Drosophila melanogaster: one gene and its partner. The protein of the gene in region 1 interacts with the protein of each later gene in a pairwise test. Each region holds a gene or a part of one and is shown on either strand. Other genes may lie near its edges.

Evidence for each region. Proteins that work in one complex are often made in the same cells at the same time.
Region 2: the proteins of prc (region 1) and Tsp5D interact in a two-hybrid assay, tested with the Drosophila melanogaster proteins (one large-scale study listed by BioGRID).

What each region holds. Positions count from the first base shown.
Region 1 is NT_037436.4:11,960,126-11,967,875, forward strand, and holds the start of prc (pericardin), read right to left. Parts: upstream 6,007-7,750; 5' UTR 5,928-6,006; intron 5,117-5,927; 5' UTR 5,053-5,116; coding exon 4,981-5,052; intron 4,739-4,980; coding exon 4,680-4,738; intron 4,614-4,679; coding exon 4,510-4,613; intron 4,448-4,509; coding exon 4,283-4,447; intron 4,227-4,282; coding exon 924-4,226; intron 870-923; coding exon 329-869; intron 265-328; coding exon 139-264; intron 1-138. Other genes in the region: Muc68E (mucin 68E), read right to left, coding at 7,455-7,750.
Region 2 is NC_004354.4:6,068,849-6,076,557, reverse strand, and holds Tsp5D (tetraspanin 5D), read left to right. Parts: upstream 1-1,700; 5' UTR 1,701-1,981; intron 1,982-3,560; exon of another isoform or gene 3,561-3,696; intron 3,697-4,682; 5' UTR 4,683-4,690; coding exon 4,691-4,753; intron 4,754-5,509; coding exon 5,510-5,701; intron 5,702-5,842; coding exon 5,843-6,037; intron 6,038-6,104; coding exon 6,105-6,265; intron 6,266-6,355; coding exon 6,356-6,596; coding exon of another isoform or gene 6,597-6,608; 3' UTR 6,609-7,417; downstream 7,418-7,709. Other genes in the region: CG4666 (uncharacterized protein), read left to right, coding at 1-188.

The sequences.
Region 1 (7,750 bases):
AGCTAAAGTGTGTGACTTTTCGAAATCAATTTTGAACATATTTTGCCAATTTAAAAACCACAGAAGCATACGTTATCCCTTTTTTTAAATAGCCCAAAACATGTTTTTCTTTCTTTCTTCACTTTTCCGATTACTTACGCATTTGCGTTGTTGCCAAACTGACTGATGGTATTGAAGAGTTCCCTGTTTGCTTCCCTGTAAGTAGCAACCTGCTCTTTGGTTCCCGACGCGGATTGTGCAGCACCATGGTAAGAAACACCAAAGCTGAAATACAAAACCAATAATGAGTGGCTAAAGTCAATAATCAATAATCCTATAGCAATGTTACCTCGATGTTCCGTGAATCTGCGAGCTACTCTGACTGGAATGAGTGCCAGATGAGGACGATGCCTGGCCGCCACCATTAGCTGCTATAGGATTGGCCTCCTGGCCGGGTCGGAAACCGATCTGGGCCTGGGAGGAGGTTTGTCCGGGTCCGCTCGATTGGGCGTCCGCCAGGCCGCCCTTGTCATTGGCGTGAACCTCGCTCTGGCTCTGTTGGATGATGCCACCGCTCTGCGACGAGGCCTTGGTGCCGCCGTCCTTGGCAACCTGTACCTGGGCCTGCGACTGGGCAGGACCTCCCGATCCCTGAGACTGACTCACGGCTCCATCAGCATTTCCGGTAACCTGTGCACTGGCCGCACGATCAGCATCGGACGTCATTGCACTGGCGCTAAAGGTTCCGCCGGAGCTGTAAGTTCCCGACACCTGAGTCTTGGCCGTGCCTCCATTCTTCTTGCCCTGAGCACTTGCCGACGCTTGTCCGTCGCCAATTGATGACTCGGCTTGGGAGAAGGCATCGTCAGCTCCGCTGGTACCGGCAGCAACTGGGAAACGAGCAATTCAAAACATTGTTTTCCACCGCCTTGATAGCTACTTACCAACTCCACCGGTGCCAACAGCACCAGGTACAGTTTGACTTCCATCTGTATATCGACCTGGTGCCCCAATTTGTCCTGTCTGGGTTCCGTATCCTGGTTGTCCTACTCTGTCTCCGATCTGTCCGGGCTGCCCTCCAATGACTCCAGTTTGGCCGCCACCTCCTGGCTGTGTTCCATAAACTGGCGCTCCACCGATTCCGGGTTGGCTACCGTATCCACCGTGCCCACCAACTGTCTGTCCGCCAATTCCGGGTTGAGATCCGGGTCCGTATCCGGGTTGGCCAGCTGTGGCCTGACCACCTGTTCCAGGTAAGCTTCCGTATCCGGGTTGCCCGGCTCCGGTTTGTCCAGGTTGAGTTCCGTACCCGGGTTGGCCACCGCTAATTCCTGATTGACCTCCAGTTCCTTGCTGTGTTCCATACACAGGTGATCCACCAATTCCAGGTTGACCACCGTATCCGGGCTTTCCAGCGGCGGTCTGTCCGCCTATTCCAGGTTGTCCTCCAAATCCAGGTATGACACCGTATCCGGGTTGTCCAGCTCCAGTCTGTCCGCCAACTCCAGGTTGGCTTCCATATCCGGGCTGTCCGGCTCCAGTCTGTCCGCCAACTCCAGGTTGGTTTCCGTATCCGAGTTGTCCTCCAAAACCTGGTTGGGCACCGTATCCGGGTTGTCCGGCTCCGGTCTGTCCGCCAATTCCAGGTTGGCTTCCATATCCGGGCTGTCCGGCACCAGTCTGTCCGCCAACTCCAGGTTGGTTTCCGTATCCGGGTTGTCCTCCAAAACCTGGTTGGGCACCGTATCCGGGTTGTCCGGCTCCAGTCTGTCCGCCAATTCCAGGTTGGCTTCCATATCCGGGCTGTCCGGCTCCGATCTGTCCGCCAACTCCGGTTTGGCTTCCATATCCGGGCTGTCCGGCTGCAGTCTGTCCGCCAATTCCTGGTTGGGTTCCGTAACCGGGTTGCCTTCCACTAGTTCCTGTTTGCCCTCCAATACCAGGCTGACCTATAAATCCATATCCAGGTTGGCCGGCTCCAGTCTGTCCGCCAATTCCAGGTTGACCACCGAATCCGGGTTGGTTGGTTCCGGTCTGTCCACCAATTCCAGGCTGAGTTTCGTATCCATAATGTCCGCCAGGAACAGCGGTTAGTGCTCCAATTCCTGGCTGAGTGCCATACCCAGGGAGTCCGCTTATTGTAGCCTGTCCTCCGTATCCTGGTTGTCCGCCTCCGGTCTGTCCGCTAATTCCAGGCTGCCCGCCGTATCCTGACTGTCCGGTTCCGGTCTGATCACCAATTCCAGGTTGACTGCCGTATCTGGATGGTCCGCCAATTCCAGGTTGAGCCCAATATCCAGGTTTTGCGGCTTCTGATTGTCCGCCACCGAGTTTCCCTCCAATCGGTCCGCTTATACCCCCAATACCTGGCTGAGTTAAAAATCCAGGCGATCCACCGACTCCAGTTTGACCTCCATATCCAGGTTGTCCGGCTCCAGTCTGTCCACCAATAACAGGTTGGGTACCGTATCCGGGTTGTCCGGCTCCATTCTGAGCTCCAACTCCAGGTTGGCTTCCATAGCTGGGCTGTCCAGCTCCAGTCTGTCCGCCAATTTGGCTTCCGTATCCGGGTTGTCCGCCACCGGTCTGTCCGCCAATACCAGGCTGGCTGCCGTATCCGGGCTGTCCGGCTCCAGTCTGTCCACCAATACCAGGTTGGGTTCCATATCCGGGCTGTCCGGCTCCAGTCTGTCCGCCAACTCCAGGTTGGGCACCGTATCCGGGTTGTCCGGTTCCGGTCTGAGCTCCAACTCCAGGTTGGGTTCCATATCCGGGTTGGCTTCCGTATCCGGGCTGTCCGGCTCCAGTCTGAGTGCCAACTCCAGGTTGGGCACCGTATCCGGGTTGTCCGGTTCCGGTCTGAGCTCCAACTCCAGGTTGGGTTCCATATCCGGGCTGTCCGGCTCCAGTCTGTCCGCCAATACCAGGTTGGCTTCCGTATCCGGGCTGTCCGGCTCCAGTCTGAGTGCCAACTCCAGGTTGGGCACCGTATCCGGGTTGTCCGGTTCCGGTCTGAGCTCCAACTCCAGGTTGGGTTCCATATCCGGGCTGTCCGGCTCCAGTCTGTCCGCCAATACCAGGCTGGCTGCCGTATCCGGGCTGTCCGGCTCCAGTCTGAGCGCCAACTCCAGGTTGGGCACCGTATCCGGGTTGTCCGGCTCCGGTCTGAGCTCCAACCCCAGGTTGGCTTCCATATCCGGGCTGTCCGGCTCCAGTCTGTCCGCCAATACCAGGTTGGCTTCCGTATCCGGGCTGTCCGGCTCCAGTCTGAGCGCCAACACCAGGTTGGGCACCGTATCCGGGTTGTCCGGCTCCGGTCTGAGCTCCAACCCCAGGTTGGCTTCCATATCCGGGCTGTCTGGCTCCAGTTTGTCCGCCAATACCAGGTTGGCTTCCGTATCCGGGCTGTCCGGCTCCAGTCTGTCCGCCAATACCAGGTTGGCTTCCGTATCCGGGCTGTCCGGCTCCAGTCTGAGCGCCAACACCAGGTTGGGCACCGTATCCGGGTTGTCCGGCTCCGGTCTGAGCTCCAACTCCAGGTTGGGTTCCATATCCGGGCTGTCCGGCTCCAGTCTGTCCGCCAATACCAGGCTGGCTGCCGTATCCGGGCTGTCCGGCTCCAGTCTGAGTGCCAACTCCAGGTTGGGCACCGTATCCGGGTTGTCCGGTTCCGGTCTGAGCTCCAACTCCAGGTTGGGTTCCATATCCGGGCTGTCCGGCTCCAGTCTGTCCGCCAATACCAGGCTGGCTGCCGTATCCGGGCTGTCCGGCTCCAGTCTGTCCAAGAATACCTGGTTGGGCACCGTATCCGGGTTGTCCGATTCCGGTCTGAGCTCCAACTCCAGGTTGGGTTACATATCCGGGCTGTCTGGCTCCAGTCTGTCCGCCAATACCAGGTTGGCTTCCGTATCCGGGCTGTCCGGCTCCAGTCTGAGTGCCAACTCCAGGTTGAGCACCGTATCCGGGTTGTCCGGTTCCGGTCTGAGCTCCAACCACAGGTTGGCTTCCATATCCGGGCTGTCCGGCTCCAGTCTGTCCGCCAATACCAGGTTGGCTTCCGTATCCGGGCTGTCCGGCTCCAGTCTGTCCGCCAATACCAGGTTGGCTTCCGTATCCGGGCTGTCCGACTCCAGGTTGAGTGCCAACTCCAGGTTGGTCACCGTATCCGGGTTGTCCGGCACCGGCCTGAGCGCCAACTCCAAGTTGGCTTCCGTATCCGGCTTGTCCAGCTCCGGTTTGTCCGCCAACTTCAGGGAGAGCAACATATATCAAACTGTATACATTTTGATTATATACGACTTACCACCTCCGGGTAAGCTTATAATGGAATCGGGTCTACCGATGCCTCCGGATCCACTAGCATCAAGAATTCTGCCTGAAGAAGGGTAATCCGTTTGGTAGCCAGAACATCCATTGCAGTCCCCTGATGAGAACTGGCTCTGAGCCTGACCCATTCCATGGGTGCCAGCTGAAAGAGGTCAAGAGGTCAATGGACAAAGTGCTAATGAATCTCATCTGACCCGTACTCACACACAGTGGAGCGAGATCCATTTTCGGTAGCCTCTGCCTCAGCCTTTCCATCCTCCTCAGGCTTACCGAAATTTAAGTACTGAGACTGGGTTTGTCCCCTCGAACTGCGGATAAACATGGAAAGGAAGTAAGCCCATCTGGTCCAAAATAGTTGTTAACCAACTACTTACTAGCCTCTGCCGCTTCTCTTTTCCCGCTGCAAGTCGTTCAGACTAGAAACCTCATTTTCCTGAAAGTTAATACATCGATTTAAATTCAATGCTAATGTCAGTCTAATCTTTATTCATTCAAAGGGTCTGTGCAAGTGTGCCCGATTAGATGCTGCTTGTAAGAAACTGACCTTGGTCAAATTATGTCTTATCGCCTACTTTTCGAACCGAGTTCATTTACATTACACTACTCTAGTTCCATTCAACACACACAGAGAAGCAACAATTCTCGGGGAGATTCATTAACAATTCGGAAACTTACGATGGCAGCTCCATTTGCGCTTGCCACGAATAGCACGGCGCCAAGTAGCAGGCCCAAGCGAAAGGGCAACATTTCAATAAATTAAACCCTGAATCCAATTGAAAGGCGTCGACGTCGCGGCAACACAACCAGCAAACTGTAAGATGAAATTGAATTGTATTATCAATACACCATATAGATGCGTGTTATTATTAGTTTATACTCCTTCTCTGTGTTTCTTGTCCGTCACTTTCAGAGGTTATCACTTTTCTTTAAAATGAGCACGCACGCTGTGCTATTAGATGCCAAAAAAAAGGCAATCGATCTTGAGTTATATTTCAGTCTTGCGAGTGATGTAATCGCTAAGGCTGATTAATGTAAGTTTCGAATTTTAGTTCTTGACACAAACGTGTTTGAATTTGTAGTCTGAAATCATACATATGTACATATCCTTTTTGATATCTTTCGCTTTTCACATCTTTATTTTGATTTTTATATGTAAAAAATACAAGAAAGTCACATAAGCACTTTACACTTCGAAAGGATAATTGTGTGATTATCCTGGCGAATATGAATTGTTACAGAATGTACATATTTATATTTGAATATAGAAATATTTAATAAATTTGGGAAGAAAATTTAATCTTCACATAATTGTGTTTAGATGTTGTCAATGATTCGATTAGTACAAGATTCTTAGTTTGCACACATTATAATTTACACACTTATTGTTCTTTTTGACCATTTACTAATGATATAAGGTCCTGTATTTTGGTTGATTTCAATTTCACTGCATATAGAAATTCACATTTAAATTTTATCAAATAAAACTCTACAAGTTGTAATCCGTTTCGTAATGCACAATTAATAGGATGTTTTGTTATCTTATTTCTTCACTAATCCCTTGTATTTGAGAGCTGTTTTTGCTCTATGTCCTTGCTGCGAGGGCACACATCCTAGGCACATACTTTTTCGGCTGCGTGTTCTAGGAATCCAATGGAGATTTTCCGATTTGCTTCCGATCGCGACAACTGCTGGATTGCGAATAACGCTGCCCTGTACGAGCATCAAAACTCTAGAGCTTGAGCAGAACTCAAATTCATTGAAGGCGAGCAATTTCCAATACATTTGCATTTGGCCAGCATGAATATTTATGTAGGATCCACACCAGCGCAGAGTGCTGGTATCTGTGAGGCGGATCAGGGCACTTGGAGCCCGAGCTGGGAGCTCGTCGCCAGTGCTATTCATTCGAGTGTCTATTCCATTACGTATCAGCGCTTTGATCGTGTCAATCGATCACTTGGTCTGGCTTGGCCTGCCGATGGAAGGGGCGGCGCGTTGACGTCCCCCTCGACAAATGAGTTTCTATGGGCATTACAACATCGTAGTCTATGCCAACGGATGGGGGACTCTTTTGACCCATTTTAGGGAAATGTACTGGCATTTATTAGCATATAAAGATACGCAATTGTGTATCTCTTGGATACATTTCAAGTGTGTCCCTGCCCACACTCATTCACTTGACTTGTATGTGCTCTCTTTGCATCTGGCGAAGGCTTTATCGATTGGGCTTTGGATTTCCCAAGCCACTTATTTATTTCTACAAATCAAAAATTGGCGGAAGTAATTTAATCAGATAACCTTTGAGACTAACTATTTGCTTTCGCTTTCTGTTTAGACTACCCATCGTCATATCTATATATAGAGCAGTCTCTACCAGCCCCCATTCAATGTTGAATTCGGCTTTATACCCTTATCTGCTAAGAGCTTCTATGAAACCATGTGTTAAATTGAACTGAAGCATTAAATTTTCAATTTTTGAATACCCATCGTCTGTATGGGGTGTGTTTCAAGGCTAGTAATATTTTTAATTGAAACCTAGATTGATAAGATCTACGAAAAAGGCCTAGGAACTGTGGAAAGCAAATAATCCGGCTACAGTGTACCCATTACTTATTTTACTAGATACAATTGCACTTAAAAATATCTTTAACCTTGTTTTCCAATTTTAATGGGAATAAAGTGCTATGAAATTTTTATTACATCGTAATAAGAATTTATATTGAGACCAATTTTTTGTAACACCTTGAGATGAATTTGAGACTACCTTTTGTTTCTATAACAATAGGGTAGTTCATTACCAAAGTGTCTCAGTCTATTGAAATAAATTTGCATGCATCCAAAAATATCTATTTAGATCATCTAAAAAAAAAACCCCAGTGAAATAAAAATGCGATTGAATGTGTTTTTTTTTTTTTATATACAACAATAGGAATTTAACATTCAGTTTCTGTTTCATTATATTAATAATTTTGCTAACTTTAATTAATCGATTTGTAATTTCCACAGTATAAATAAATTTTTAATAATTCGCAATCTTTTTATTCATTTCTTAGGTAAATATTGTCCAATGAATAATGCCGTTGCACTGCTCCTGAAAAAAAGTGTCCGCATGTTATTTATTAAAATTTTGTCTACTTTAATTGGACTTACTCTTATGTGCAGAATCGCCGGGACTTTTCGCAAACTTGACTAACGGGATTCCAGTAAAGTCCTGAATTACAGCTCATTACAACACCTCTCAGGCCAAAACACTTGACATATTTGGAGCAATCGCTTTGAAAAACGTTAAAATTCATGCCCGCTGCGCAAGAAATCGATTGACTCGCCCGAAGATTTGTGCAATATTTATTGGACCAATCACATGACTTTATCTCCGGGTTCCAATACAGCGGATCTGGACACTTGCGCTCCAATGCCACGCCATTACTACACTGCAAATACATGGTGC
Region 2 (7,709 bases), on another chromosome or scaffold:
TTATTACCCTTTCGGACGGATTTGTACGCGCGGTGGCCATGTCCAAGCAGAACATCACCAACTGCAATGTGCTGGAGGTACTGAAGACCTATCCGGAAACTGCCCAGCGACCGGAGAAGCCGGAGGAGCTCAAGCTCTGGCTGGATGCCATCGAGCTGTCCAGCCAGAAGCTGCGAAAGGACAAGTGAATCGATTGATTGATTCCATCTCCCGCAGCACAGCTCATTTACATATGTTTGCCTCATTTACTTAGATTCGTAGTCATCTTCTATTTTTTTTTTTTGAGTGCATAGTGAAGTAATTCTAGACTGGTGGGTTTTTCACACAAAAAAGAGCGTAACAAAATGTACACAAGTCATGAATCTAAACAATGGCCCATAGCAACTTAAAGACTTTATTTGCTATTATTTTTTCACTGTGCCTTAGTTATAGGAATATTGCATTAATGGAATGGCTGAAGATTTTAAATATAATTTTTTACAAACCAAAAAGTATTGTAAATGTTTAAATAATTTTAGATTGAACATACAATTTTACATCTTTCGCAGTTTGATCGTTTTATCACATATATTTCCTAAAAACGCGTTTTGCGTGGACGGGAGTCGTTGGAGTTTCTTTCACGACTTTCATTTATGCTAAGTTTGATATCACGCAACGCCAAGTCTGTGTCGATAAGTCAATGGATTGTCTTGTTTTCTATATTTTCTTTTTCGCTGTCTTCATTATGGAACAGTTAATTATGAAGACTGCATTTTGGTTATGTAATTTGAAACGAAACTGCTTTGGAACTGTTAACCTCAGAAGTTTGCAAATATTACACACAAATAAGCATAAATAATGTGTGCAAGGGAGAAAAATTGGTATCCAATATATTTGCATAATATATATGGATTATTATTTTCGTTATTATGGTTAAAACACAAAAAAAAAGTGTTTTATTTGGTTTTTTTGTTTTTCTTTGCAAAAAGGGCTGATTATTTTACTGCCCACTTAACGGAGGTTCATTGAACCAATTGTTGTCCTATGCTTTTCCATCTGCAGATAACTATTATCATACTTTATAATAATTACCATATTATCATTGACTTGGACAGCTGAGTGCCATCCGTAATCCGCAGCGTAATCCGTGACGTCATGTCGGATGCAACAGCTGCACACACGGCGTATGAGTGCTGACCACTTCCACTTCCCGTCGTTATTTATTTGAAATCTCTCCGTTTGTTGTGCTCTTTTTGCTTTTTGCTTTTGTTGTTATTTGTTTGGTATGAATTAGGCCGAAAAGTGGATCAAAACGTGACACTGAAATCTAAACATAAATCTCATTCATAAAGTATGCAGACGGCGCGCGTTGCTTTTCAGTTCTCTTTTGGGGCCGCACGTACTCCCCGATTCGCTCAGTGTGTTGCTCTCAGAGAGCGAGGAGCTTAGTGCAACTGTCAACGGTAGGTACACGTAGAAAAATCGTAGGTGTTTGCTAAAGAAAGTGCACTAATTGTTATAAATAATAATAAATTATGATAAATCAAACAATTAGATGAAACATAGGGCTGATGTAACCAAAATTGAATACCTTCCCAAGTTTTTCTCGCTGTGCATTACAACTTGCAACCGAAGCCACTTCGGCTAGACATTCGTGCCACTTCGGCTGCTGCGTGGCGGCGTTGCTTCTTTGCTATTTTTAACTGACAACGTGAAGAATTGTCAGTTTATTTTGAACAACCGCGGCGAGCGCATAGAACACGCCAAACGAACCGAAAATCTGATATCCCAAGCCAGCGATCCGAGTATCCGAATCAGAATCAGAATCAGAATCAAAATCAGAAGTGCAGAACCAAACGAAACGTTTGGGAACGCGAATCGGAGATTCCTGCGCCAGTGAATTGTTTATTTTCCTATTCTTTTTTTTTTCGAGTTAAATTCCGTGGCTTATAGTGCGAATCGAAGTCCGTTGGAAACAGTGCTAAATCGTCTTGAAGCCAATGTAAATGTCCTGTTTGTATAGATACAGTTGAAATACATACATACATATATAACATATATAGCATATAGAAAACCCGATGCTGTGACAATAACAACGAACTTTTGCAGTTTATTGACAGCAGCAACAACCACAAAAACCAGATTGAAAGCAAACAACGAACAACAACTTGAAGTAATTTGCAACTGAAAAGAAATGCGGCAATGGGGCAAAGTATAAACACATAGATTGGCCGATCGGCCAGAAAGGCAGCAGCAACAACACTGTTGTAACTTACAACAACAAAAAAAGAGAAAACTTTTCGTGGACGACACTTTGAAAGAGCAACAACAACAGCATTAAAGTGGGGGGGAGGGTCTCCAACGGTCAGATGGTGAAAATCTTTTTCAGAGCGACTGATCTTGTTGCTAAAGTCGTCGTTGTTGTTGTTGCAATTTTACCTACAGGTTTTTACCGCCTGCTACAGTAATCTCCCCGTAACATGCTACCCTGATCTTTTGTGATCTCTGTTTTCGATATTATGAAATATGACACATATGTATCTTTCATCACATTCAATCTCACTATAGTGTGGGAACTTGAAGTCTTCCTTTCATTGGGCTCGATAATATATTTTAACTATAATATTACGTGATATGGTATAATATCACCTAGCTTGGAAATTGTATTAAAGGACTATGTTTTCGTTTTGTAAAGTAATATCTTCGAAATTATTTATACACTTTACTAGGGTTCTATCCTGCTTAGATAGTTTGAAGGATATCATTTTCTAACACATCGAATGCAAGCAAATGCAAGTTAATAGGCTAGTGGAAAATATGAAAAGCTAATCGACTTAACCCATTACTGCGACGATTTGCAAAGTTTTCGGCTAAACGAAAACAATTTGAGATGGCAGCATTTCCCTGGCATAAATCACTCCGCCACATCCAAATCCCCATTCCCATCCACATCCACATCCGCAGCATCCCAGCATCCAGCTACTCGAATTATGATAAATGTCCAGAGCACGGTGGATAGTGTATAGTGTATAGGGTATGGGGCATGTAGGGTATGTGGCATATAGGGTATGTGCGGAGGGTAGGTGGGTATGGTGGGTGGGTAAATCGCAAATTTTCAGCGTCAAATGCCATTAAGCCAGTCCGCGTTATTGAGTTAAATTGGAAAATAAGCGAGCGACAGTTGCTGTTTGTGTGTGCCTTGTGCAATTGTTCGCACTTGGAGACGACGAACTGGAAACTGAAAACTGGGAACTATGAACGGGCAACTGGGAATGGTAATCGCAGTCGCAGTGGAACCGAGCTGAAAAACTGAAAAGCTGAAAACTGGACAGCCCTGGACAGGCCAGACCCATTACCCCGCCCAGTGCCGCTTATTATTTGCACTATTTCATTATTATTATTATGTTCGCGGGGGGAGGGGGGGCGGGCTGATCCTCATCGCGGATGATAGTTATTCCAATTATATGCTGGATAGCTCGACCCTCGAGCGGACATTCCGAACCCCACCGAATGTGAATCTGAATGTGAATCTGAGTCCGGATCTGAATCCGAAAGGGGTAGCGAGATTGTAGGAGGATCGTGATTAGGAGGCACGTGCTCCTCTGGACCTTCAAGTTTAGATCTATTTATTAGTAAGGCTCTTGCAGGTCGGACGATGACAGCTCAAGATATTAAATATCATAAGTGAAAAAGTATAAAAGAATTAATTTAAAGAATGTATGTATATATATATTTTAACTTTACTTGTTCCTGGGCAATATTTTCCAAATCCTTATTGCCTAGCAGTGCATTTCAAAATAAAAAATTTTTTCTCCTTGTATTTGGTTTTCATTGCTGGTTCACACGCAATCTTTTTTATTTTTTTTTGGTCAACACGAATTTTCCCAGATCCATGGGCTTGATTGCAACAAAACATGTGATCATTAGCATGAAACCAATTCAAAAACTGTTGCTTCTTTCCCATGAAAGTCGAGAAGAATGGTAGTTTTTGGCAATTTAACTCTTGGTTCTCTACACATTCGCAATGTTCCAAATACATAGGTTTTTTATATACTAGTACATATATACAATGTGGCGAATAATAGTGTTCATAATCTTCAGCACTTACATTTTATTTTAATTTCTTTAAAATCAATGAAAGTTGATTGACAAATGGACGGCCCTGAATGCTTTTTGCCATCCATAGTTTAAATATACAGATGAGGACACCCACCCATTTATTTGCTCATCTGCTTCGTTGACCATGGTCATTGCGGTCGCTGCTGTTGTTAATTTTGTTATTTTTTTTTATTTAGTTATTGTTTTCATTCAATCATACAAAATATTTGCATAAGCGAGTGTCTACCCATGTGTGGACATTTGTGGATTACTGCATTTGTGCAGCAGTTGCAGCTGCAATTGCCTAACGAATCGCCCCCGCTGGCACACACACACACATACACACATGTGGGTACTCCAGTTACATGGCGCTGACAAAAGGAAATGCCAATGAAAAAACATAGTAATAATACACATAATAATAACAGTAAACTATATTTGATATATAAACGAACAGAATTGCAATTGCTGCTTCAAAATGGATGTTTAATGGATGCAAGGTCTGGTTTTTCCACAGGATATACTTTTTAGGATGGAATTACACTAAATATAAAGGACTATTAAAGGTTTCGAGCTCTACCTGATGGTTTTTTTTTTCGTTTCAGATCCCGCGATGGGCAATGCCGGCTACACTTGCATACGCCGCACATTCTGCTGGCTCAACATCATTCTATGGGCAAGTTATTTAAGTAAAAAATCCTACTAATTACTAATAAGTTGACTTGAAATACACACCTCTATGCCTATAAGTAAACATTTCTGGAAAGATACATATATTCTGACTGCCGTCTCCATTTCCCCCAGAACGGATATGCGCGGCATCAGAATCGCAGGCAAAATCAAAATCAGTACGTAGGGCGGCTAATCAGAGCCACAACTTTGCCGTCGTCTGCGACGGAAGTGTCTTTGTGACAGCATGTTGCATTGTCTGAGCGCCTGTCATTGACTTTTGCGTTTGCTTTTGGCTTTGCTTTCAGCACAGTTTCAGTTTCCAGCTCGACGTAGACTTTGGCGGCGTGTTTACCCTTAGCTTTTTGGAGCTGCAGCTGCAGCTTCCGTCCGCTTTTGTTTTTGCTTGCCACTGGGTTTCCCCCGAAGTCCCTGAAAATGTCAGATGTCAGGCCGTTGTGAACATGCAACAGTTTGCAATCGAAAGCTCTCCATTTGGCCGTCAATCGGGGGAATTATCTGATTTCGCCTCTGAATGATAGATCCTTCAGCTATTCGTGCAGCAAAGAGCAATAAATCAAGGTCTGTGTCCAGGTGACACTGTCTGGAATAATTGACTCGTTGATTTATATCAAATATTAAGCTTTTTGAGTCCTTTAGGTATGCAGCTACCACCTCTCACTTTTCGAGCATTCTGCTGGATAATCAGTGCCTTTCTAATTTCTATTTTCCAATTTCCAATTCCCAACCTGACCCATTGCAGTTATGTAGCTGTGCGTTTTTAGGAGCGGGACTCTGGTTGCGACTGAGCTACGCGGGATACGCCACTTTGCTGCCCCAGCACGCAGGTCTGAGTGCGGACACCATCTTCATGGGCATCGGGGGCACCGGATTTGTGGTCAGCTTCTTTGGCTGCTGCGGCGCCTGGGTGCAATCCCGCTGTCTCCTGGTATTGGTGAGTAAATCGGGGGTAAATCAGGGTCAACGGAGAGGATTTAGCTCATGGCATACATGCATGTCGAATTTGTGATCTATGTACTTTTTTTTGACCATTTTCTTTCTGTGCAAAGCCATTCAATATCATATCTACCCGCAGTACTTTATGCTGATTGTAATGCTGTTCATGAGCGAGTTCCTGGTTGGCTCCATCGCCTTTCTCTTCCGCGGCGGACTGGGACGGACTTTGGCCAACGAGCTGCGCTTCGGGATCGAGCGGCATTATAACAGCAGCGATCGGGGATCTCTGGTGGCGCCTTCGGTGGCCTCCATTTGGGACAGCGTGCAGCAGTCGGTGAGTGGTGCCTTTCGCTTGTTGCCCAGTTCCACGTGCTCATTGAAACGTGATCCCTTTTGGTTAGTTCGAGTGTTGCGGCGTTTCCTCCTACGAGGATTGGTATGACATTCAGTCGTGGCCAGGCAGGCGCTGGGTGCCAGAGTCCTGCTGCAGGACCCTCTACGACCAGCGCCAGGTGCTCACCGAAGGATCCGGCGACGGAATGATGCGTCCCGACTGCGGCAGGTGTGTTCATGTTCGGCTCCTTTGCCTATTGTCCATTTGTTACATCATTTCGAGAAGCTAGCCACTATACCATTATTTCGCCAACTCTAGATCTGAGAATCCGTCGCTGTGGTGGGACAAGGGCTGTGCCCACTCGCTGCAGAGCTGGTTCACCGGCCAGCTGAACGTGGTGGGCGCCGTGGGACTGGGCATCGCCTTTGTCCAGCTGTTCGGGCTGATCACCTCGATGCTGCTGTTCTGCACGGTGAAGCACAAGCGGGCCTCGGACACCTACAAGTCATACTCCCCGTCGATTGATCCTCAGACCCGCACCAGCAGTTGGGAAGATTGAACGCGCCTGTGACGGTGGTAGGCGGACTTCTAAATTGGGGGGTTGCAGTCGGCCTCCCGAACTCCCTGTCGCTATCTCTATTCCTTTTGTTAACTCTCTTAGTTTCTAATTTATTCTGCGAAATGTGCCAAAAATTAATTTAATTCAAAGTGTATTTTTTTTTGTTTTTTTGTTTGTAATCTGTAGGCGGAGACAAGTCGAAACAAAATTGAACTGGCAGCAAAATGACAAATTCGCACTGGGCACAGTGTGAACATGTCATATTGCTGCCGGTGAAACAATCACATATTTAGTTAGCAGTGTATCCATATTGTGATGTGCTCTCTAGTAGTATAGTATAAGGCCCAAGGCCCGAAACGCACCTGGAACAGGGTATAGTGCGTTCCATACTTATCAGGCTGGCTGCTTAGCTGCAAGAGTACCTGACACATATATACAGCTAGTGTGAGTCGGAATCCTTGGACCTGGATATGCTTATGCTCGTAACCCTTCAACTAAACCAATATATCAACTACAATATATATTTATATATAATTATATAATACTTATGTTACTTTATGGAAATCTGTAGTATTCGAAATAGCAGAAACCGCAACTGCCCGAAAAGCGCGAGGAAAGCGAGAAGAGAAGAGAAAAGAAAAGAAGAGAAGACGAAGTGGAGAAAGAGGGAGCAAATAGTTAAAGCAAATATTACATTACTACTATGCGTATGATTATTTTATTCATACATACAAATATTTATATCGAAATGCATTCCTAAACAACATGTTCGTGTTAAGTTACAAAATAAATTAAAGTATTTATTTAAATTACACGCCTTCTCAAAGGCCCACCAATTTGCCTCCTATGATATCCAATTGAGCCGTGATCCCCTTCGTCACGCTGCGCGCCAACTCTTTGGGCTTCTGCAAGAGAGAAATGGGGGGAAGAGAGTGGTCAAGAGAGGGAAAGCTGGCACTGGAACTGACCTTGCTCAAAGCGAAGCGCAAGCGCACACGACGAGCGACTAATTGCATAAGCAGTGCCAGCGGGTCGTGGTACTGTCAATCTGGCTTGAAAATAGCCAAGACTCAAGGACTTGCAGTAATACTGACAGCTAAGGCCGTAAGTTGA